Linked DNA regions of Caenorhabditis elegans. The protein of the gene in region 1 purifies or fractionates together with the protein of each later gene. This does not show direct contact. Each region holds a gene or a part of one and is shown on either strand. Other genes may lie near its edges. The genes, in order: smg-4 and smg-2.

Region 1 (10,571 bases):
CGACTGCTTTCCTTCATACATTCTTAATTAGACTTGTGCTTTGAGTTCATTCTCGTTCCACAAAAATGGCATCGACAGGACCTAAATGGAGTTTATATCCGTTATTGGCGGTGGTTGCAGTGGTAAGTGGTTTTGATTGAAATACAAAAATATAGAAAATCGTTCTAGTAGTAGTATTGAAACTTTTATTCAATACATCAATTGAAATTGTGTTATTAAAAAACACTGCATGCGAAAACACCCCAAAAGTTGAAACATGGATTATATTTTTGCCCAATGTTGAAGTACATTATATTTTCCTCGCATTATCAAAAAAACTCGCTTCTGATGAACACTATAATATATTTATTTTAAGTTTGAATTCGCTCTTGGAGGAGCACACATTGCCTACTGTTCTCCATTATTTTTCTTTTTATTCCCATTTATCAATTCTGCTTTCGGGTTGGTCACAGCATTCCATGCAATTTTTCTTCGGTACCCAAATCGGTATTTATAAAATTTAATGTTTTCAATATTAAATTTTGAAATTTTTAGATGTGATTTCTATTTACAATTAACATGTTCTTCAATTGGATTTTTCTTCTTTTTCTCGTCGTTAATGGAAACATACTGTATAAATGAGTTTAAATGTAAGAGTTATTTGCATTTAAAATTTTAGATTTAAAAATTATTTTTCAGATGCAGATGAAACAATTAAAGATGGAGTATGCCACGGATTAAAATATCGAACAATTGCAATGGTTGGGTCTTGCAACGATTTACTCGCTAATTTACAATTGTCGATTCTCGATAAATTTGGATGGGAACCTAAGGTAATGCATGTATATGACAAGAATAATAAATCATATGGATTCCTAACTATAAAAAACGAAAAATTTTAGTACTGTAGGTAGGGTGACTTTGCGTTACGTTGTTACTCAATACCAGGTTTTGTTTCATTTTTGGAGGCGAGTTGTTTCAAGGATGAAAATTAGGTTCTTTGAAATTAAGGCAGATATTAAAGTTTTTAGCAGTTCTTTTTCTAAAAGTAATTTTTCTTTTTTCTTTTTACTACATACAGCCTTTGAAAAATCTTTGAAACTCGTTTTGTGACACACTGATGGGAAGGGCCATCTTTAGCATTTTCATTTTAAAAAATTTCAAAAAGTTTATAATTTCATAGATTGAAAATGTAGCGCTAGAACTTATTTTAACGTGGCTATCGCAACCTTTAGCAAGAAATGCCTTGAAAAGTGGCTCAAAAATTATGCATAATGAACAAAAAACTTTACCATATCCATACCTTGCTGCGGGCTTCACACTTTTTAATCATTTCCCATTTTGCCCCTGATCGTACAGTAACGTAGGGAGTACGGTAGGCCATAGTAGGCATTACGGCGAGATACAATGCCCAATTCGCAATAATGGCTTGAATATACCAACTTTTTCAGGAACGCGAATGGATTCGGTTTTTCACATCAATTTCTTTGACTATTTTATCTGGTATTCATCTATTAATATGTACTCTACTCACATTCTACAGTGCAACCGAAACCAAGTAATTTTAATATTGAAAATGTAATTTTACATTTAAGTTTCAGAATCCGTTTATACTCTTATCACTATCAAGTCGTCATATCAATATTTATCATTATTGTTTCATTTTTTCATCTTCGTTACTGTTGCACATTCTTTTTTCTATATCTTCCATTGGCAATTGGAATGTTTTCATTACTTCAAGGAATTGTTTCATGGAGAACTAAATGTCATGGTTCAACAACTAGAGCTTTAAACATTATTGGAGCAGCATTCGCAGTTCTTATGAATGCTACCACAAGTTTTGGTATATTCTGCTGGTTTAATCGAAATACTGTTCCGCATATGATTACAAGGCATTGCCATTGGTTGTCACATCGAGAAGCATATTGTATGAGAGTTGTTCATTTTACTCATCCATATATTGATTGGTTACCACAGGAAACTGAAAGAGAGATTGCTGCTATTCAGGTAAATTTGACTATTTCGTTGACGTCTAAAGATCCTAATTTTTGCCAAATCATGGATGTTCCTGTAACGTGCCAATTTTAGGGTCACTTGAGAATAATCTTTTTCCAAATAAATACACAAGTTTTTCACGTCGTGTCAAAGTGTCCCATATCCGTTTAATCTACAAAAACGAGGGATTTAGACTTCTCAACTGTATTTTCATGGTTAAGAACGTGCTGACGTCCCATTTTTTGCGAAAAACTTCCCGCACTTTTTGTAGATCAAGCCGTAATGGGACAGCCTGACACCATGTGGTTTTTTACAATAAAAAATTAGAAAGCAAAACGATCCCCCAAATTGACACGGGTTACTGTAACTTATTACGTAGACGTTGAAAGATGAAAATTATTTTTATATCCTACGGTTCCACCACGCGGAAAACACATTTTTCAGATAACAGTACACATTCTCTTATTCATTTTTTCATGCATACAGTTTTCCATCTCCATGCGATCAGCTTTCTCAACCAAAAAGCAATACTTATACTATTGAAATTAATGTTTTGTTGCGTATATATAAAGTTTATCATTTTTACAAAATCAGTACATCAGATTGGATAAAAATAATAGTAGGGCACGTGGAATAATGGAATGCTTTAAACTTTTCACTTCTTCTTTGGATCACGAATGGTGGTGAATTGGGAGGACATCTCGCTAATCTCAACGGCTTCCATTGCTTTATCATCAAAGTCCACCCATTCCTTCTCACTCAAATCAATCTCGTGGAATGCGTTTCCAGTTTCAACGCTTTTGGCAATCCATTCGTCCTACAAAAATCACACATTTTTGAATTAAATATATTCAAAATTTCGTACTCTCGGATCAAAATCAAACGGTTCAAGTCCACGGCAATCGAACACTGCAATCTGTTGCCATTTCTCGTTTTGTTCGATGTTGTAGCTTTTGAACATATCCTCGACAATGGCTGAAAATGTTTATATATACTTAATTTGATTTTCTCGCAAAACTTTGATCCCAGATATTTTAAGATTCACTCACTCAAAGTGTTGACTCTTCCACACAGCTTGCATTTTTCCACAAGATTTGCCTCACCACGACTTCCTGGAACATCAAGCATCTCCTAAAATAGATTTGTTTCTTAAAAGAAAACATTCTAGAAATATCTCACATTGAGCACTACATACTGCCAGTGATCTGGAGCTTCACCACAATTAGTACACTTAAGTTTCATGTGCCAATGAAACGAATCAGTGTCATCCGGACGAAGATCAGTGATACCTTTCAATTGACACTTCAGTTCGAGAGCAAGAAAAGGCTGAAATTCTCAAGTTATTATGCTAATTATCGGATTGCTTTGTTCGTAAATAGAAAAAGTCAACCCTAATTATCCGCGCGGAAGAAACTTGTGCTTATGTCTCTCCGAGCACATTCTAATTGGTATTCCTTACCATTTTGTACGCGCAGATGGTCTCGTCCTCCGGTCACCTAAACAACACTTTAGTGAAGAATTGACGGAGGCTGTCAAGAAAATGAGGAGACATTCCCACAGGGACTTCCCGTTAGAATGAAATAGCATAACACAAAAAATGTATTTATAATTTATTTTCCAAAACTATAAAGCGAGTAAGGAAAAAGGGAAAAAACGAGTACATAAGCTGTAATAATGGAGGGTAGAAAATCATAAGATGAGTTTCGAATGTTTGATAATCGAAAATACAGAGAATGGAATAAGTGAACATATTAGAAATGTAGCACATAGAAAACGATTATGACGGTTTCACAATCAAACAAAAAAAATCCATTTACTCCTCTTATAATCAACATTAATCTTTAACAACAATTGCTAATGATTCGGTGCAGTGGATGGACGTTTTGGATGATTGGACGTAGTTGCACGAGTTGGGAGTTTTGTAGAAGATGGTGCCGTTCGTGGCCGTGTATCGGTTTCCTTATTCAGTTTGGTGGTGACTGAAAGCTTTTAAAGAGTTTAGTAACTTTTTTTTATTCAGAAAAAAGTGAACTATTTCATCAAATCTCAGTAAAATAGTTCCTAGAACCTACGGTTCAAGTTTTGGCAAAATGTCAATTTTTCAAAAAATTCAGATTATTTAGATTTTTTGAATATAATTTGTAGAAAACAACTTTTTGGTCAACCTCAAAGTTATTAATATCAAACAGAGCAATTTTCATTTTTTTTGACCAGACAAAGTTTTAAAAAGTATGTACTTTAATATGATGTCTGATCATTTTAATTCGTATTTCAAACAAGCTCAGAACTTATAAAAATTTTGAGAAATGAAAAATGAAACTTACATCGTGTTTCTTTTTCATTGGAGCTGACTTCGGATCAGTTAATTTCTTAATCCAATCCTCGCCTTGTTGCTCGCCAACAGTTTTAGCTGGAGATGGACGGGGAGGTTTTGCGAGACGTTCCTTTTTTTTATCTCTTGGAACACGTGGTCCATCTTGTTCCCGCTCTTCATGTTTCTTCTTCTTCTCATCAAGAAACTTTTGTTTGCGAATCATATTTCGTTCTTTTCTTTTTGCGTCCTGCTTCTCCCACCGTTCTTTTTCTTTTTCTGTCATAGGTTTTTCCTTCTTCAAATCCTTCTTCGACGTGGTTGCAGACGTTGAAGCCATCGGAACGCTGGGCTTCATAAGGATATCCAGAACATTCTTATGCTTTTCAAATTTATCAACTTTATCACGCTTCTCAGCTCTCTTTTCGTCACGTCTCTGTCTGCGAGCATCGTAATCTCTCCGCTTTCCAGTTTCTTTTTCGAAGAAATACTTGACAAGTGGTGTTTCCATTTTATCGATTTCTATAATAATAATAATGATGTTTTAATATTTTAAGAAAAATCAAATACTAACGAGTTCTAGCATCATCAGGCTGATTAAGTTTCCGAATTTGTTGTTCCAGAGTCAGAATTGGAATAGCTCTTTCTTCTTCAAGCTTCTTACAGAAATCCAAATAGTATTTATCAGTGAGAATAGCTCCAACACGTGTATCTTCCTTCATTCGATTACGATCACATTTTGCAAAGTTCTGATTGGAAGCAGCTTCAACAACTGCAGCAGAATCATTTCCACGAGAATCGACAAAAATGTATCCATCGAATCGCCGTTCAAATTCCATCATTGAATCACAGTATTCGGAAAAATTTACTGTAAGCGTTGCATAAGCACATCGGTCGAACCTGAAAAAATGTTTATGACTTTAGAAGCAAAACATCAAATTTTTAGAACACACGAAAAGTTAGCAGGATGAAAATAGGTTCCAATGACTTCTTCTGGTAGTGGACTAATCTGTTCAAGAACTTCATGCTCCGTCATGTATTTTGGAAGACGACGCAACACGACTTTCACATGACCGTCTTTTGAATCGGTCATTCTGAAAATAATAAATAAAATAATAAAAATAATAAAAATTACTACATTTTTAAAAGAATCAAGAATTAATTTAACGGGTGCAGACCGGATGAATAAAACAAATAAGCAGTTGTAAAATAAATAAAAAATATTTATTACTATTTTATAGAGAAACAGATTGTGAGTTCTTCTTTTTTAAATGAGCAAATTTTTTACGGAATCGACCGATTTCCGATTCGTTCATAACAACGTCAAAAATTAAATAATTTCCATCGATGGTGGGCTCAATGACCACTAATTCGTTATGATAAAGCCATTCAATTACTGGTGATCGAGCATCCAGACGAAGTCGAATCGTTTTGCACTTTGTAACCATTGTAACTTTATCGTTGATAACATCAATGAGTTCATGCATACCATCACCTGTTTTACACGAAATTCGTACGGAATTGTTTGATTCGGAAGTGGGAAATGCAGATTCTTTGTCGATCTGAACAATAAAAATTAGGAAAAGGAAGAAAACTTTTCTAAATATCACCTTGTTATCAACAGAAATTATCCTTTCGTTGAGTACATAATCTGTAACTCCAATGGATTTAAGTGTTGCCAGAACATCTTCTTCTTGTGCTTTCCAGTCCGGATTGGAAATGTCTCGAAGGTGGATTATCACATCCTACAAAAAATAAATATCACGATTTTTATAACGAATTTGAATTTCGAAAACGAATTAAAACTTTTTGTTCAATGACTCATGACTCACCGCAGATTTCACATGAGCCAGCGTAGCTTCGAATGCCGCAATCAAATGCATTGGCAAATCGCTCAAAAATCCGATTGTATCAGTAAACACAGCTGATCGACCAGAAGGTAACTTTGCCAAGTGGCGTGTGGTGTCCAATGTGGCAAACAACTGATCCTTCGGCGTCAGGGATGCGGCTCCAGTCAGTTTTTTCACTAAACTAGTTTTTCCAGAATTCGTGTATCCGACAACTGCAACAACGGCGTCTGATGAATTTCTCACACCGAGTTGTCCAACATTTTTCCGAGTCACATCTTTTAGCTCTTTACGTAGGTCTTGCTCTCGTTTTCGAAGAATTTCATTCAGATCGCCATCGATATCGGAATAGTGTGAGTCAATGTGTAGAATATCCGGACGTGAATGCAATCGTTTCGATGAAAGAGCATGAATTCGATGTTTGATGTACGGAATTTCGGCAATAGCAATCTGAATCCGAGCTTCTTCAGTTTTTGCAAATTGTTTGAAAGTTGCCAAAACAATGTTGTATCGATCAAAAATAGGAACTTCGAAAATTCGGTAGAGTTCTTGTTGCTGCGATGGGCTCAATGCATCAACATTCACCATTAATGCAGTGGCACGTGCAGCTTCTCGTCGAGCAATCAACTTTTCTAAATTTCCAGACGCCCAAACAGCTTTCCTTTTTGTATTGTAGTCGACTGGCATGATAAGACTGCTGAAATTAGATGAGTTATATCAATTAATATCATTCCAAAACCTACTCAACAGCATTCATATTTGGAAGATTATCGACAAGTGCAACAGCTTCTTCAAGTTGTCGATCTGCTTGTTTCAATACTGAAGCTGATCCAGATCCCCATCGAACCTTTGGATGCACAACTAACACTGACCACCTATCATTTGCAAATGCAGAAGGAGCTGCCACTTCAGAACTGAGAGATCAATAAAATTTTGGAAATATAGAAAATTCTGCTCACCTACCAATACTCAGATTACGAAATGACAAAACTGTCTGCCTTGATAATCGTAGAATAAACATTCTGAAATAATATTTGAGAAGCTGCTTTCATATTTCTAACAAAGTAAAAATCTATACACGGAATATATTACCAAATATAATCAGATTAAGCGTATTTTAAGACGATTGAAACTTCATCAGAAGGGGTTCGAACTGAAAAACCAAAAATTGAAATTCTAATGGGTACGAAAAGCGGGAAAATAAGTTTCAAGACTAACTCTTCCATAAAACAATATTTGTAATCGGCTGGGATATGCCTAAAACTCAAGTTACAGGAATACAATTGATATGGTTGGGAGAACCTATTGAACGGACAAAAAAAATGGGAACATGATATAGGATCATAGGATATACATAAAAAAAGTAACACAGCTGAATTATAGAATGGAAAAATGTTTTGAATGACTTGTGGACATACCCGGAAAATAATAAATAAGATTAATTATATGAAAACGAAATAATAAATTCTATTTTGGACCATGAATTCTATCTAACATTTTTTCTGCTTTTGATAGATCGAGTGAACTTAAACGAGTCTTTTTGGCGTCTGGAGATCGGGCGACACTTCTCTGCGAAGTAGCATCTGAAGTTTCATTGTCTGAACTAGCACAGGAGCTACTTTCTGGATCAGTTGAGTGGCTGGATGAAGTTGGTGACAGTTTCTGAAAGATCAGTACTGTTTAGACATATTGAGTACGTGTAACATACCGGTTTAGCACTCAATAAAGCTCCTTTTCTCGGAGCAAAGGATTGACCTTTTGGATGATTGTTCACTGGAATATTATTATGGGAATACTCTTCCGAGTTTGCAGGCGACAATGAGGGCAAATTTGCTGATCTACGCGACTTTGATATCTTTTCTTGCAAATCATCATGAAATTGTTGGTACGTTGTATCGCAATTGACCAGAAGTGATGATACTGAAGCTACTATTATCGTGTTGTGAGTTTTCGTTATTTAAAAAAGTGGTGAATCATTAGAAGAAAAGAAAACAAAAGAAAGTGGTACCGCAGGTTCCCATTTCGGGGCAATCGACTTTTCTGGGAGGAAAATTCCATCAATTATTGTAAATCACCACGATATGGTACACTCTGACACCACTTGCAAAATTAAACAAATACTTACACCGCGCAAGGTGCCCAACAGGATTGAGAAAATGAGTGGAATCTTTACGATCGTCTCCGTCACACAACTCTTGATCTGCTTGTGATTTCTGAAAATAGAAATAAAAACATTTTAAAGATGATTTTTCATTACCGTATAACTTGATTTGTATGGTTTTGATTGCATAGCCGATGACTCTTTGGGATGCGAACTACTTCCATACCGACTATCAGGTTTTGACGAGGATGAATGCTTTTTGGGGATTTTGAATTCACGTCTTGCCACATCATCATGCTTTCGCTTCGCCGAACTGGGTGATCCAATCGGTTGTTTTCTTGGATCCTTTGGCTTGTCACTTCCACCCACTTGCGTTGTCCGAATGATGACAGGAATTTCAGATGTCTGCTGCTCATTCGATTTCTGATGAAAAGATGGCTGCTTCTGTTTTTCCTTTTCTCTTGCATGATATTTGTTGTTGTCAGCTTCTAATGCCCGCCGATGCTCTTTATCTTTTCTTTTTCTCTCCTTCTCCGCATCTCGTTCTCGTTTCTCGGGAGCATTGGATCGAGACGACGTGGATGATATAGATTCTCTATCGCTCTGAACATTTGTACTGTGATGTGCCTCGGAATAGCGACGGTGTCGTGTGATAGTGGGGTGAGAAGTGACATCGGATTCATGCTTGTCTTTTCGCTTCTCTCGGTCTCGGTCTCGATCCGTTCTTTTCTACAAAGCAACAACAAAAAATCAAGCAGGACAGACAGAAACAAAGGGAATGAGAGGATTGTAATACTTAGAAACATGCACAAAACACAATAAATACCTCGTGATCTCGTTCTCTTTCCTTTTCCGTATCTCGATGACGTTTCTGTTCCTCTACCGGACGACTTTGTTGGGGAGAACTTCCATACCTTAAGCTTCTAGACTGCGATCTGAACAACACTGATTATCAATTTAAATGATTGAAATCCACACACCTTCCTCCTGATCTTCTAATTATTCGTTCTCTATCTTCTAGTTTTGGTTCAAAAGGCACTGGTGCTGCTTTTTTCGGTATAGCATTGTCTGGCTTCATTGGTTGTACAGGTTGCCCGACTCTACCTGGCGTTGTGCCAGGTTGCATTCGGAAAGAGAGATCCTTTGGTATTGGGCTGAGCAGTGGCTCAGGAACGCCAGAATAGACTATACGATTGCTTGCCTCAATTTCTCCATCTTCAACCAATCCTTCCTGCAAAATCAAAAGCATTAATAAAATTCTGATTCATGATATTAACATTATCCAACCTCTGTTTCTACCACAACTTCCTCTTGAACTATTATCGAAGCATTCGTCAAGTGAGGTTCTCTATTTTCTAAAACTTCTCCAAAAAACTCATTAAATGGTTGATCATCCTGTTGATCCTGCATCATCTCTCGTTCCGGATCATAGTCGAGAGCACGAATAAATTCTGCATTAATGCCCTCTAGGCTGAACTCGGTGTTGAAATCAATCTGAAAATGTGAATTATTTAATAGCAAAATGAATACTACTTACATCGGCGATTCCTTCATGTTCATTGATGTAACCAACCAATGGATTCAGAGCATTTTCTACCTTTGCATTCAGATTCTGAGGATTATTGATTTTTCGACGAGACGTTTTCTGTGAATCCTCCTCAAACTGATGTTGCAAATCTCCAGAGGTTATTTGTGACCCTTGGGAATTGACTGGCTCATCTGGTACGTTATCTTTCTGGATTGCTGGTGATGCTTGATGAAGTTGTTGATGGATGACAGGTACACTAGATGTTGGAGCAGGAGCAACAGACAAAACATTAACTCTAGGCAAAAATTGTTGCTCTTCTCTATATCGGGCATCCGCATTCTGATTAACACGTTGCAACTCCATATGCGCAATAGCCTGTGGGGCGCGAATTGTCGAGTATTGTTGGGATTGTTTATGTCGCGAATATGCCGATCTTCCATATAACTGCTGATGGGATGTACTTCTGCCAGAACTTGCAGGAGTCGACGTAATAGTTATAAATCGGTTGGTGAGTCTGCGTAGATCCTCTCCAAATTCGACCATGCTTTTATTCACACCAAAACGTCCGTCTCTATTAAAAATTGTGATAATATCCTCCAGAGTATGATCATGCAATCGATCATTCAACACTACAATCGGCCTATTATTGTGATCGAATCGAGAAAGAGATTCGCCGAGAAATGGGGACTCCTGTTCCATCGCATCAGCTGCTTGGTTCATCTGAGATAATATTTTTCATTTTACAAGAATTCAAGTGCTGTAAAAATGATAACGTACCCCATTTCTTCTGAGATATCCATAAATAAGAGA
Region 2 (11,722 bases), on another chromosome or scaffold:
TACAGTTTTCTAGCTTTCATAATCATTTTTAAAGGTGGAGTACTGAAATTTGGAAAATATATTTAATAGATTCCAAATTTTCCCCTAATTCCGAATATCTATGTGAAAAAATCCAAAAAAAAATTCCCCTAATTTTATATTTAAGCTTGAAATCGCTTGTTCCGGAATCGCTTTTTTTCAAATTCGCGCCCAAAGAAATTCGCATTGGAGCGCTTTTTTTTTAAATTTTCTTCATTTAAATATTTCATTTATTTTTCGCCGAATTCAGTTTTTCAAAATCAGTTGCATTTATTTTTGTCGAAAAAAACCGATAAAAACTCGACTAAAATGAATGAAACTAGTTTTAAAAACACTGAATTCGGCGAAAAATAAATAAAATAAATATTTATAAATGAAGAAAATCAAAGCGCGCTCCAATGCGAATTTCTTTGGGCGCGAATTTGAAAAAAGTGATGCCGGAACAAGCGATTTCAAGCGTGCATATAAAATCAGGGAAATTTTTTTTTGATTTTTTCACATAGATATTCGGAATTAGGGGAAAATTTGGAGTCAGTTAAAAATATTTAATAGATTTCGGTACTCCACCTTTAAAAATGATTATGAAAGCTATAAAACTGTACAAAAAGTTAATAATTTTTTTTCTGAAGCTCTTTAAAAATTTTCAAAAAAAATTAAATTTTCAAAAGAAAATTTTCAAAAGAAATTTTTCTATTTTTCTAAAAAAAAAATTTTTGTAAAGTTTTTTCACAAATTAAATTTTTTTTTTCTGTAACTCAATTTGTTTAAAAATATTTGAAAAATAAAAATAGTGGAAACAAGAAAACTATGCAGAAAAATTAAATTTAAAGTTTTTTTCAGAATTTTTTAGAGTAAATTTTTTAAATTTTGATTTTATTTTTGAAAATTAGAGAAAATTAAACACGAAAAATAGAAAATTTTAGAGTTTTCCCTAATTAATTTTTCAAAAAGTTAACGCAGAAAAATACTGAAAATTAATCAAAAACTAAAACAAATAATTGAAAAAAAAATTTTTTTTGGGACAATTTTTTTTTCAGACATTACACGGATTTCTGGGTTCCGACAATTCCTTATAAATACAGAAAGATGTGCGCCTTTAAAGGTTACTGTAGTTGTAAAAATTATTTTTTTCCCACGATTTCGGGAAAAAAATTCGCAGAAAGGAAAAGCTCGAAAATACAGTAGTACCCTCTTTAAAGGCGCAGATTGATTTATACCGAAAAATTGTCGTGTCGAGACCCTGTATTTTTGTTCTAAAAAAGTTAAAATTGAAAAAAAGGAAATCCTGTTTTTTTATCTGAAAACTGCCAAAAAAATCAAATTCAAAAATCAAACATTTTAGAGTTTTCCCTAATTAATTTTTCAAAAAGTTAAAGCAGAAAAATACTGAAAATTAATCAAAAACTAAAACAAATATTTGAAAAAAAAAAATTTTTTGGGACAATTTTTTTTTCGGGGATCAGGGGAAATTTTGGAGTCAATCCATCTTTAAATTGCAAAAAATTAAAAATGTCGAGTTTTCAAAAAGATTTTTTTTACTGAAAAAAACCGAAAAAATCGGAATTTAAAAAACTAGGCCACCAAAATTTCACCGCGGCCACCCACGCTCTTACATGAGAATCAAAAAATGCCATATCATGGTGCAATAGCTTCTGAAACAAGTCCGACCGCATTTTCGTCGCCATTCGTTCTCCGAGAACCGTTAAAAATGTGATATAAAGAAATGTGAGAGCAGATTGTGCAACATATAGTGTCATTAAGTGCAGAGCAGATGGCTTGAGCTGTTCAAAATGAGATCGTAAATTGTTCGACTCGTCCTTGATGATTTTCACGATTCCGTTCACCAAATCGCCCAGGCATAGTGGAATTTGAATGTTGATGTAGGCTGAGAGGATGGCGCACTGCAAAAAAAACTGATAATTTTTCTCAATTTTTTAAGGAAAAATTGACTAAAATTAAAATTTTTTTGTTTTTAAAATTTTTTCTGGTGAAATTCCGAAAAAATTACAAGATTTTCGTACAATTTAATGTAGAAATTAAAATTTTTAGCCCCCCAAAATAACTGAAAAACTTCAAATTCCGAGATTTAAAACAAAAATTTTGTAATTTTTTGTAATTTATCCGGACAAAACCGACTTTTAGCCAATTTTTTCTTTAAATGTGGACTCCACTCTGTGGGAAAATTGCTTTAAAACATGCCTATGAGGCCATAATGACCGAATATCATTAATTCGTATGAAATCAATGAAATTTCATAGTTAAATTGGAAAATGGCAACATTTTTGCTTAAAATTTGTAAAAAATCATGTTTTTTGGGCATTTTTGGTGATTTTCTTTCGATTTTTATGATATTTCGGCGGTTTTCACCCAATTTCATTAGAAAAAATTGAAAAAATCTCAGTTTTTGCCTAATTCCTAATTGAATTTCCGCCAATTGGATTCGTTCGTTGGAGCGCACTTGCATTATTTTCATTAATTTTTTAAAATTATTTTTTATTATTTCACTGATTTTCTTCATTATTTGTGCATTTTTATCGGAAAAAAGAACTGAAAAAGCAAGAAAAATACAAAATGTTTGTTAAAAAGTAACTGAAAATGCGTAAAACTGTGATTTTTTGAGTTCTGAGGACGACGAGCCTGAAATTTGTATTATTCATGGAGTTTTAGGTATTTTTAGTCACTTTTTCATAAACATTTTGCATTTTTCTTGTTTATTTCGTTCATATTCCGATCAAAAACCCCTAAAAATGAAGAAAATCAATGAAATAATGATAAAAAAAATAATGCAAGCGCGCTCCACCGAACAAGTTCAATTGGCGGAAATTCAAATAGGAATTAGGGGAAAACTGAGATTTTTTCAATTTTTTCTAATGAAATTGGGTAAAAACCGCCGAAAAATCATAAAAATCGAAAGAAAATCACCAAAAATGCCCAAAAAACATGATTTTTTACAAATTTTAAGCAAAAATGTTGCCATTTTCCAATTTAACTATGAAATTTCATTGATTTCATACGAATTAATGCGGAAATTAAAGTTTTTTTGCTGGAAAATTGACAGGAAACCTGAAATAAAATTAAAAAGCAAGATTTTAGGTGAAAATTGCACAATTTTTTGTAAGTTAACTATAAAAATACGTATTTTTCTCGATTTTTCCCAGTTTTCAACCGGATTTTTATCGAAAAATTCACCACAACTGCAGCGAAAAACCAGCCGAAAAAGGGTTTAATCAAATTCCACAGCTCTCCGGCCGTCATTGACGCATTCTGATCCTCCGTCGTCCTCAAATGGTCGATGCGTTTGCTCAATTTCGGAGCACATGCCGCTTTTCGTAGGGTTACAGCTCCTAAACCGGCTCCAAACCCACAAATTCGCCATGTTTTGAGTATTGTTGTCCTTGAAATCGGTTTGTGAAGCCATGGATAGCTGGAAAAGCTGCAAAAAACGGGAAAATATATGGAAAAATGGAAAATCAGCAGATTTTTGCAGATCTTACCAGTGTTTGCTGCTTTGCACGGCGCTTTTGATGGATATTTGGGATAGTTTAGATAGAATTGACATTAAAAACCAGGAAAAATCAATACAAATCAATAAAAATCAGTTCTTATCAGCGATTTTTTCCGATTTTCCAAGAAAAATAATAATCGAGAAAACATAAACTCCGTGCGGCACACTTGCAAAAACCGTGCGCCCACCTTGCAATGAGGTGTTTTTATCATATTTTTTCATTTTTCGACCGTTTTTCGCAATTTTTTCTAACAAAACCTCATTTTTTGTATGAAAATGTTGAAAAAATATGCATTTTCATGGTTAAATTGTTAAAAATCACACAATTTTCGCTTAAAATCATCTAAAATGATGAAATATTGCTCATTTTAAAAGTTGGGGGGATTTTTCAGTTTGTTTTTCAAATTTGAGCTCAAATTTTAGGCATTTTTACCTTTTTCCGATAAAAAGTGAGCGGAAATTGAAAATTTTCAATTTTAATTGTTGAAATTTCCAAAAATGCACCCGCTTTGTGATTAAATTAACACAGTTCTCATTTTCGAAGGTTTTCCGCCAATTTTCGGCAAAAATGTTGAATTTTTACATGAAAAATCTGCAAAAATAAGTGTAAAAGTGGTAAAAAATTACGAAATATTGCTCATTGTTAGATTTTGCAATTTGAAAAATGCTTTTTTGTACTTTTTTCACCTATTTTACTCGAATACCGACAAATTTCTCATGAATGCTATCGATTTCTCATTCCAAAACCCCTCAAAAACGCACTTTTCTTCCAGTAATGGACGATTCGGACGACGAATATTCGAGAAGCCACGGGGAAACCCTCACATTTGTGGATCCCGAGGACGATGGAGTCTCTATTGGGAACACGCAGGACTCTCAGTTCGCCTATGAGCAGTTTAGTGTGCCTACGCAGAGTTCTCAGGTAGAAAATTGCCGCATTTGTGTCAAAAAATCGAAGGAAAATTCTGGATTTTGCTGAAAAATCAAGTTTTTCACATGATTTTTCAGAGAAATTTGTATTCAAAATCCTTTGAATTGATAGACTTTACACACTGAAAAAAACGATGAAAATCATGAAAAAAAAACCACTCGAAAATGGACAAAACCGATGGAATTTGTGATTTTTATTTTCAATTTTTGTTCGAAAATGAGTATAATCCCGTCAATTTGCAATTTTCAGATGCTTTTTTGCCCACTTTGCCCAATCAATTTTTCGTGCAAATTTCAAGAAAAATCGATCCAAAAGCTCGAAAAAATTAGATTTTTGTGCAAAAATTGCAAAATTTTTTGAATTTGGCCATTTTCGATTAGTTTTTCTTGTAATTTTCAAGAAAACAAACCGTCCAATTTTTTTTGGAGATGTTTTGTGATATAAATTATCTTTTCCAACAATATCAACGATTTTCTAGAAGCTCAACGTTAAAAAAGGTTAGAAAATTAGATTATACTATTACGGGAACACAAAATTCTGAGAATGCGTATTGCACAACATATTTGACGCGCAAAATATCTCGTAGCGAAAACTACAGTAATTCTTTAAATGACTACTGTAGGTCGATTTACGGGCTCGATTTTCATTTTTCCTTCGCCAAAATCGAGATTCCGTAAATCGACACTACAGTAGTCATTTAAAGAATTACTGTAGTTTTCGCTACGAGATATTTTGCGCGTCAAATATGTTGTGTAATACGCATTCTTAGAATTTTGTGTTCCCGTAATAGTATAATCTAATTTTCTAACCTTTCTTAACGTTGAGCTTGCTCTGGAAAAGATAATTTATATCACCAAAAACTTGTTTTAAAAAGAATTTTTCTCATTCCTTACTGTCAGGAATCTTGGAAATTGTGATTTTTTTTTCCAATATTTTTGTTTATCGCAATTTTCAGATGATTTTTGAGCACTTTGCCCACAATTTTTCGTGCTAATTTCAAGAAAATCGACCCAAAAGCGTACAAAAAATTCCAAGAAAATTCCAAAGCAATTTTAAAAATTCGACTCTCAAAAAAAAACACCTATTCCAGGCGACAGATCTTAATTTTAAATAAATTTTTATTCAAAATCCTCTGAAAGTGGAAATTTCAGTGGAAAAAAACCAAGAAAATCATAGAAAAGTCCCTTAAAATCAATTTTTTTTGTCAATTTTTCAAAATTCTCAACAAAAAAAAACCCATATTCCAGGCGACAGATCTGCTGCCAGGAGGAACCGATGGAACCACCAACGATTTGCCATTTCACGACGTGGAAGACGACGAGTCGGACAGTGAAAAATCACTGACAGAAGAGCAGCAGCAGCAGAAGCTGCCGGAGCACGCGTGTCGCTATTGTGGAATCTCTGATCCTCTGTGTGTCGCCAAATGCACAGTCTGCAGGAAATGGTTCTGTAATTCCAATGATGGAACGTCGGGCGGGCATATTGTTCATCATATGGTTCGGAGTCAGCATAAGGAAGCCTACACGCATAAGGATTCACCGTGTGGTGACACTCAATTGGAATGCTATCGTTGTGGTTCGAAAAACGTGTTTAATCTCGGCTTCATCCCCGGAAAAAAGGATCAAGTCGTCGTGATAATCTGTAGAACACCGTGCGCCAGTATTGCATTCCAGAATGATGATAATTGGTCGCCCGAGGACTGGAAATCTGTAATCGCTGAAAAACAGCTGCTATCGTGGATTGTTAATGTGCCCAGCGAGGAGCAGGTGGCCAGAGCTAGGAAAATCACGTTAGTGGAGGAAAATCGATTTTTGAGAAAAATTTTAAAATAATAATTAAAGGAATTTCCAACCAAAAATGCAATTTCCGAGCGATCGAATTTTAACAATTTTTAACTAAATCTCGCCGTCCATCGACTTTAAAATACCTAAATCGAGTTGAAAACGCAAGATAATTAAATTGTATACTCAAAATTTGACGGTGGTTACAAAAAAAAAATAGTTTCCAGCCGCTTTACAAGTCGGTCAAATTTCAAATTTTAACTAATTTTAGGCCATTTTTTGAACCGTCATAACTTGTTTTTTGAGAAGTTTCACTATGAAATTCGGTGTTTTCTGAGTTGAATAAAGCAATTTTAAAAAATTCGACTACACCACCTTTAATATTTCTATAGCTTCGATTTTTTTGTTGATAAAAAATCTATTCCCAGTTTCCAAAAGAAATTGAAAATTGAATTTTTTTTCGAATTTTCGTGCAAAAAATTCTCAATTTCTACCGGCATTGGTGCAAAAAGCCGGAAAAACACAAGTGGTATAGTACTTTTAAATAGCTATATATATATATATATATATATGAAAAACTAAATTTTCCAGTGCTACCCAAGCAGTCCGAATGGAAGAGCTCTGGCGTGATCACCCAGAAGCAACCGTTGACGATTTAAATAAACCGGGACTCGATCGAGAACCGGATCATGTTCAATTAAGATATGTGGATGCTCATCACTATTCGAAAGTGTTCCGTCCATTAGTTGCAATTGAAGCAGAATATGATCGAAGAGTTAAAGAATCAGCATCACAAGCAGTCGGAACTGTTAGATGGGAACAAGGACTTCGTCAATCGGTTCTCGCGTTCTTTCATCTTCCACAATTTGCTGATGGTGTCATGAAGCTTGCGAAAGGCGATGAACTTCGATTGAAACATTCTCAGACGGTTGATGGATCGGAATGGACCAAGATTGGAAGTGTTTTCAAGATTCCTGATAGTAAGGGATGGGAAAAATAAAAATAAAAATTTTGAGTAGTTTTTCTTGGAATTTTCAAGAAATAACTGTCCAAAATTTTTTTTTTGGAGATTTTTCCTGATATAAATTGTATTTTCCAGTAATTTCAACGATTTTCCAGAAGCTGAAAAGGTTAGATATTTAGTTTATACTATTACGGGAACACAAAATTCTGAAAATGCGTATTACACAACATATTTGACGCGCAAAATATCTCGTAGCGAAAACTACAGTAATTCTTTAAATGACTACTGTAGGTCGATTTACGACGCGCTTGATTTTCATTTTCACACGAACGAAAAAGTGAAAATCGAGCCCGTAAATCGACGCTACAGTAGTCATTTAAAGAATTACTGTAGTTTTCGCTACGAGATATTTTGCGCGTCAAATATGTTGTGTAATACGCATTTTCAGAATTTTGTGTTCCCGTAATAGTATAAACTAAATTTCTAACCTTTTGAGCTTCTGGAAAATCGTTGAAATTATGGGAAAGTACAATTTACATCACCAAAAATCTGCAAAAAAAAAAATTTCGGTCGGTTTTTTCTTGAAAATTACAAGAAAAACTACTCGAAAATGACCAAAATCAATTTTTTTTTGAGCTTTTTTAACTTTAAATTCTTCGGAAAAATTTTTTTTCCCGCTTTTGGATCGATTTTTCTTGAAATTAGCACGAAAAATTGGGCAAAGAGCTCAAAAATCATCTGAAAATTGCAAATTTACAACAAAAAAATCACAAATTCCATCGTTTCTGGCCATTTTCGAGTGGTTTTTCTGTGAATTTCAAGAAAAATTGCACAAAAAGCTCCAAAAAATTTCACGTTTACAAATTTGCAGACCACGGCGACGAGGTAGGCATCGAAATCCGCGGAGCTGTCGACAAATCAGTGATGGAGAGTCGGATTATGTTCACCGTCGACGTCGTCTGGAACGCCACCACCTTCGAGCGACAGTACAAGGCTCTTGCGGCGCTGCTCAACGACTCCAAAGCAATATCTCCATATCTCTACCAGAAGCTTCTGGGTCATCCAGCCGAGGAAATGATGCTCAAGTTTGATCTACCGCGTCGGCTATCTGTCGCTGGACTCCCCGAGCTTAATAGCTCCCAGATGCAGGCAGTGAAGCAGGTGCTCACCCGACCTTTAAGCTTGATTCAAGGACCTCCGGGAACTGGAAAAACCGTAGTTTCGGCGACAATCGTCTATCATTTGGTGCAGAAAACCGAGGGAAACGTGCTCGTGTGCTCGCCGAGCAACATCGCCGTCGATCACTTGGCCGAGAAGATTCACAAGACGGGATTGAAGGTTGTGAGGCTTTGTGCGAGATCTCGAGAGCACAGTGAGACTACAGTACCCTACTTGACGCTTCAACATCAGCTAAAAGTGATGGGCGGTGCGGAGCTTCAGAAGCTGATTCAGTTGAAAGATGAAGCCGGGGAGCTCGAGTTTAAGGATGATTTGAGATATATGCAATTGAAAAGAGTCAAAGAGCATGAGCTTCTCGCCGCCGCTGACGTCATCTGTTGTACGTGCTCATCGGCGGCTGATGCGAGATTGTCGAAGATCCGTACGAGAACTGTGCTCATTGATGAGAGCACACAGGCGACAGAGCCCGAGATTTTGGTCTCTATTATGAGAGGAGTCAGGCAATTGGTTTTAGTTGGAGATCACTGTCAACTGGGACCGGTTGTTATATGTAAAAAGGCGGCGATTGCCGGATTGAGCCAATCTTTGTTCGAGAGACTTGTGCTTCTCGGTATTCGACCGTTCCGGCTTCAGGTTGGGTCATTTTCGGGAAAAAACTACTGAAATTCGGCATTTTAAATTGAACTTACTGAAAATTATCACTGAACCTTTAAAAAATCGATTTTCTACAACTCGGACTCTAATTTTTGAAAAATTTTGTTTGAATTTTATGAAGGTTCAGATATTTTCAGAAAGTTTACAAGTTTTCTACGAGATTAAAAAAATCGAACCAAAATTTACTTTGTAATTAAAGGTGGAGTAGCGCCAGTGGGGAAACTGCTTTAAAACATGCCTATAAGGTCACAATGACCGAATATCATGATAAAAAAATTTAAAATGTTTTTCTAAATTTTATATGATTTTTTAAAAATTGAAAAAATCTCAGTTTTTGCCTAATTCCAATTTGAATTACCGCCAATTGGATTTGTTCGATCGAGCGCGCTTGCATTATCTTCATTAATTAATTTTTTTTGTTGTTATTTTCCACCGATTTTTAATGTTTTCAGTGTATTTTTGCTTGAATTTTAGAGAAAAAGTAAAAAAAAAAGCAAATTTTCGATTAAAAAGCATGCTTACAGGCGTAAATCAGTGAGATTAGTTAATTCAGGTTCGAAATCGTTTAAAAGCGTTACTTTTTCATTTTTTACACCTGCGATCGCGTTTTTTAATCGAAAATTTGCATTTATTTTGACTTTTTCTCTAAAATTCAAGCAAAAATACACCGAATACATTGAAAATCGGTGGAAAATAACAAAAAATAAAATAAATAAATTTAAAAACGTGCAAGCGCGCTCCATCGAACAAATCCAATTGGCGGTAATTCAAATAGGAATTAGGCAAAAACTGAGATTTTTTCAATTTTCAAAAAATCAAAAATTTAGAAAACTTTTAAAAATTTTTTTATCATGATATTCGGTCATTATGGCCCCATAGGCACGTTTTAAAGCAATTTCCCCACAGGGTGTAGTCCGCCTTTAAGTGACATTTTCAAGAAAACCGCTGCATATGCTATAAAATCCAATTTCGTGAAATTTTGAGATTTAAAAAATGCAAAAAAAATCGGTTTTTTCTCGAATTTTTGACAAAGTTTGGCTACAAAATGTAGCTGTTTTTCAGTTTTTTAAATGAAAATGTTGGTATTTTTAATTTTTTTTCTAATCAAAAAACTTTTCTAAAATATTGGAAAGATCAGTTTTTCCAGAAATTTTTCCGAGGATTTCAGTAGAAAATTCCATGAAATTCTAATTTTAAACCCATTTTTCAGGTGCAATACCGTATGCATCCAGTGCTCTCAGAGTTCCCGAGCAACGTGTTTTACGATGGAAGTCTCCAGAATGGTGTCACTGAAAGTAGGCAATTTTTTATATAATTTGAATTTTTTAAAGGAAAGAAAATTACCTGAAAACTTGAAATTTCGACTTTTCCGCTTAAAAATTCCCAGAAAAATCCACCAATTTCTTTTTTTTTTCTGACGAAAAATTGTCAAGAAAAATAGAGACACGTCCCAAGATCATAAAATTATGGATTTTTCACCAGAAAATTCCAGAGAAAAAAGCATAAAATCCAATATTTACAGTTTTTCCTGACAAAATCCTGAAAAAAAACCAATTTCCCGCAGAAAGCTAGCTAAAAACTCCAAAGATTTGCTGGAAAATTCGAGAAAAAAGCTCAAATTTTACTAAAAAAAAAAACCCTTTTAATTCAATTATTTTTGCAGACGATCGCCATATGACAGGAGTCGATTGGCATTGGCCTAAACCAAATAAGCCGGCCTTCTTCTGGCATTGCAGTGGATCCGAAGAGCTTTCAGCATCTGGAACCTCATTTCTCAATAGAACAGAAGCCGCGAATGTGGAGAAACTTGTGTCGAAATTGATAAAAGCAGGCGTTCAACCACATCAAATCGGTGTTATTACTCCGTATGAGGGACAACGTAGTTTTATAGTCAATTATATGCATACACAAGGAACTCTCAACTCGAAACTCTATGAAAATGTCGAAATTGCTAGTGTTGACGCTTTTCAGGTGAGAAAAGCGGCTGAAAATTGATTGGAGCTCGAAATTTGTGCAGAAAAATGGAGAAAAAAAGTAATATTATAAAAATAAAGTAAAAAATTCGAAATTTCGAGTTTTTTCAACCATTTAAAAATGCCAAAAAACTTCGAAAGGAATTCAACAAAATTCATTAAAAAAAATAGATTTTTAAGCACATTTTCCGGTTTTTTTTCCTTTTTTTAGAGAAAAAATGGAAATTTTCGTGAAAAAATTTAATTAAATCCGTTAAAAAATATCAAGTTTTCAACTATAAAGAGCAGAAATTTTGCTTCAAAGTTTAAAATTCTCGGAAACCTTGAAAATGTAAAATTTGTCCAGTTATTTTTCATGAAAAAACAGAAATTTTGTCTCGAATTTCAATTTCCGGAGCGCAAATCGGTTCAAAAATTCTTCGAAACCCAAAAAAAAAAAAAATCAAAAGTTTGTCTAAAATAGCTGCTCACTATTTTTATCCATTCATTCAAAAATTTGTTTTTAATGGAAATTAGCTATTTTCCAACAAAAAGTGTTGAAAAAAAACACACACATTTTCTAATTCAGAAATACCTTAAAGGATGACTAACGGTTTTTTTAAGCTAAATTCTCGAATTTTGCCCATTTTTCTGTGTCACATCTGTCCAAAGTTGACTTTTTTTTGGAATTATCATTCTTTATTGTAGATACAAAAAAACGACTGGAAATTTTTATTT

Evidence for each region.
Region 2: the proteins of smg-4 (region 1) and smg-2 purify together in Caenorhabditis elegans (affinity purification with western blotting, with the first as the bait; one study listed by BioGRID). This does not show direct contact.

What each region holds. Positions count from the first base shown.
Region 1 is NC_003283.11:9,772,365-9,782,935, forward strand, and holds smg-4 (UPF3 domain-containing protein), read right to left. Parts: upstream 5,382-10,571; 5' UTR 5,379-5,381; coding exon 5,239-5,378; intron 5,186-5,238; coding exon 4,860-5,185; intron 4,808-4,859; coding exon 4,299-4,807; intron 3,961-4,298; coding exon 3,829-3,960; 3' UTR 3,571-3,828; downstream 1-3,570. Other genes in the region: F46B6.2 (uncharacterized protein), read left to right, coding at 66-122, 356-486, 535-629, 679-812, 1,431-1,537, 1,581-1,986, 2,419-2,517; UPF0587 protein F46B6.12, read right to left, coding at 2,630-2,791, 2,840-2,949, 3,024-3,105, 3,154-3,300, 3,434-3,436; F46B6.4 (Hflx-type G domain-containing protein), read right to left, coding at 5,521-5,847, 5,896-6,030, 6,118-6,829, 6,876-7,046, 7,092-7,153; F46B6.5 (LisH domain-containing protein), read right to left, coding at 7,600-7,794, 7,841-8,061, 8,258-8,345, 8,390-8,962, 9,060-9,168, 9,214-9,464, 9,521-9,727, 9,771-10,481 and 1 more.
Region 2 is NC_003279.8:1,172,177-1,183,898, forward strand, and holds the start of smg-2 (Regulator of nonsense transcripts 1), read left to right. Parts: upstream 1-4,296; 5' UTR 4,297-4,298; coding exon 4,299-4,445; intron 4,446-5,701; coding exon 5,702-6,243; intron 6,244-6,826; coding exon 6,827-7,215; intron 7,216-8,070; coding exon 8,071-9,011; intron 9,012-10,242; coding exon 10,243-10,327; intron 10,328-10,695; coding exon 10,696-11,003; intron 11,004-11,722. Other genes in the region: haf-6 (Mitochondrial potassium channel ATP-binding subunit), read right to left, coding at 1,632-1,919, 3,208-3,451, 3,513-3,577. UniProt on the Caenorhabditis elegans protein: RNA-dependent helicase required for nonsense-mediated decay (NMD) of aberrant mRNAs containing premature stop codons and modulates the expression level of normal mRNAs.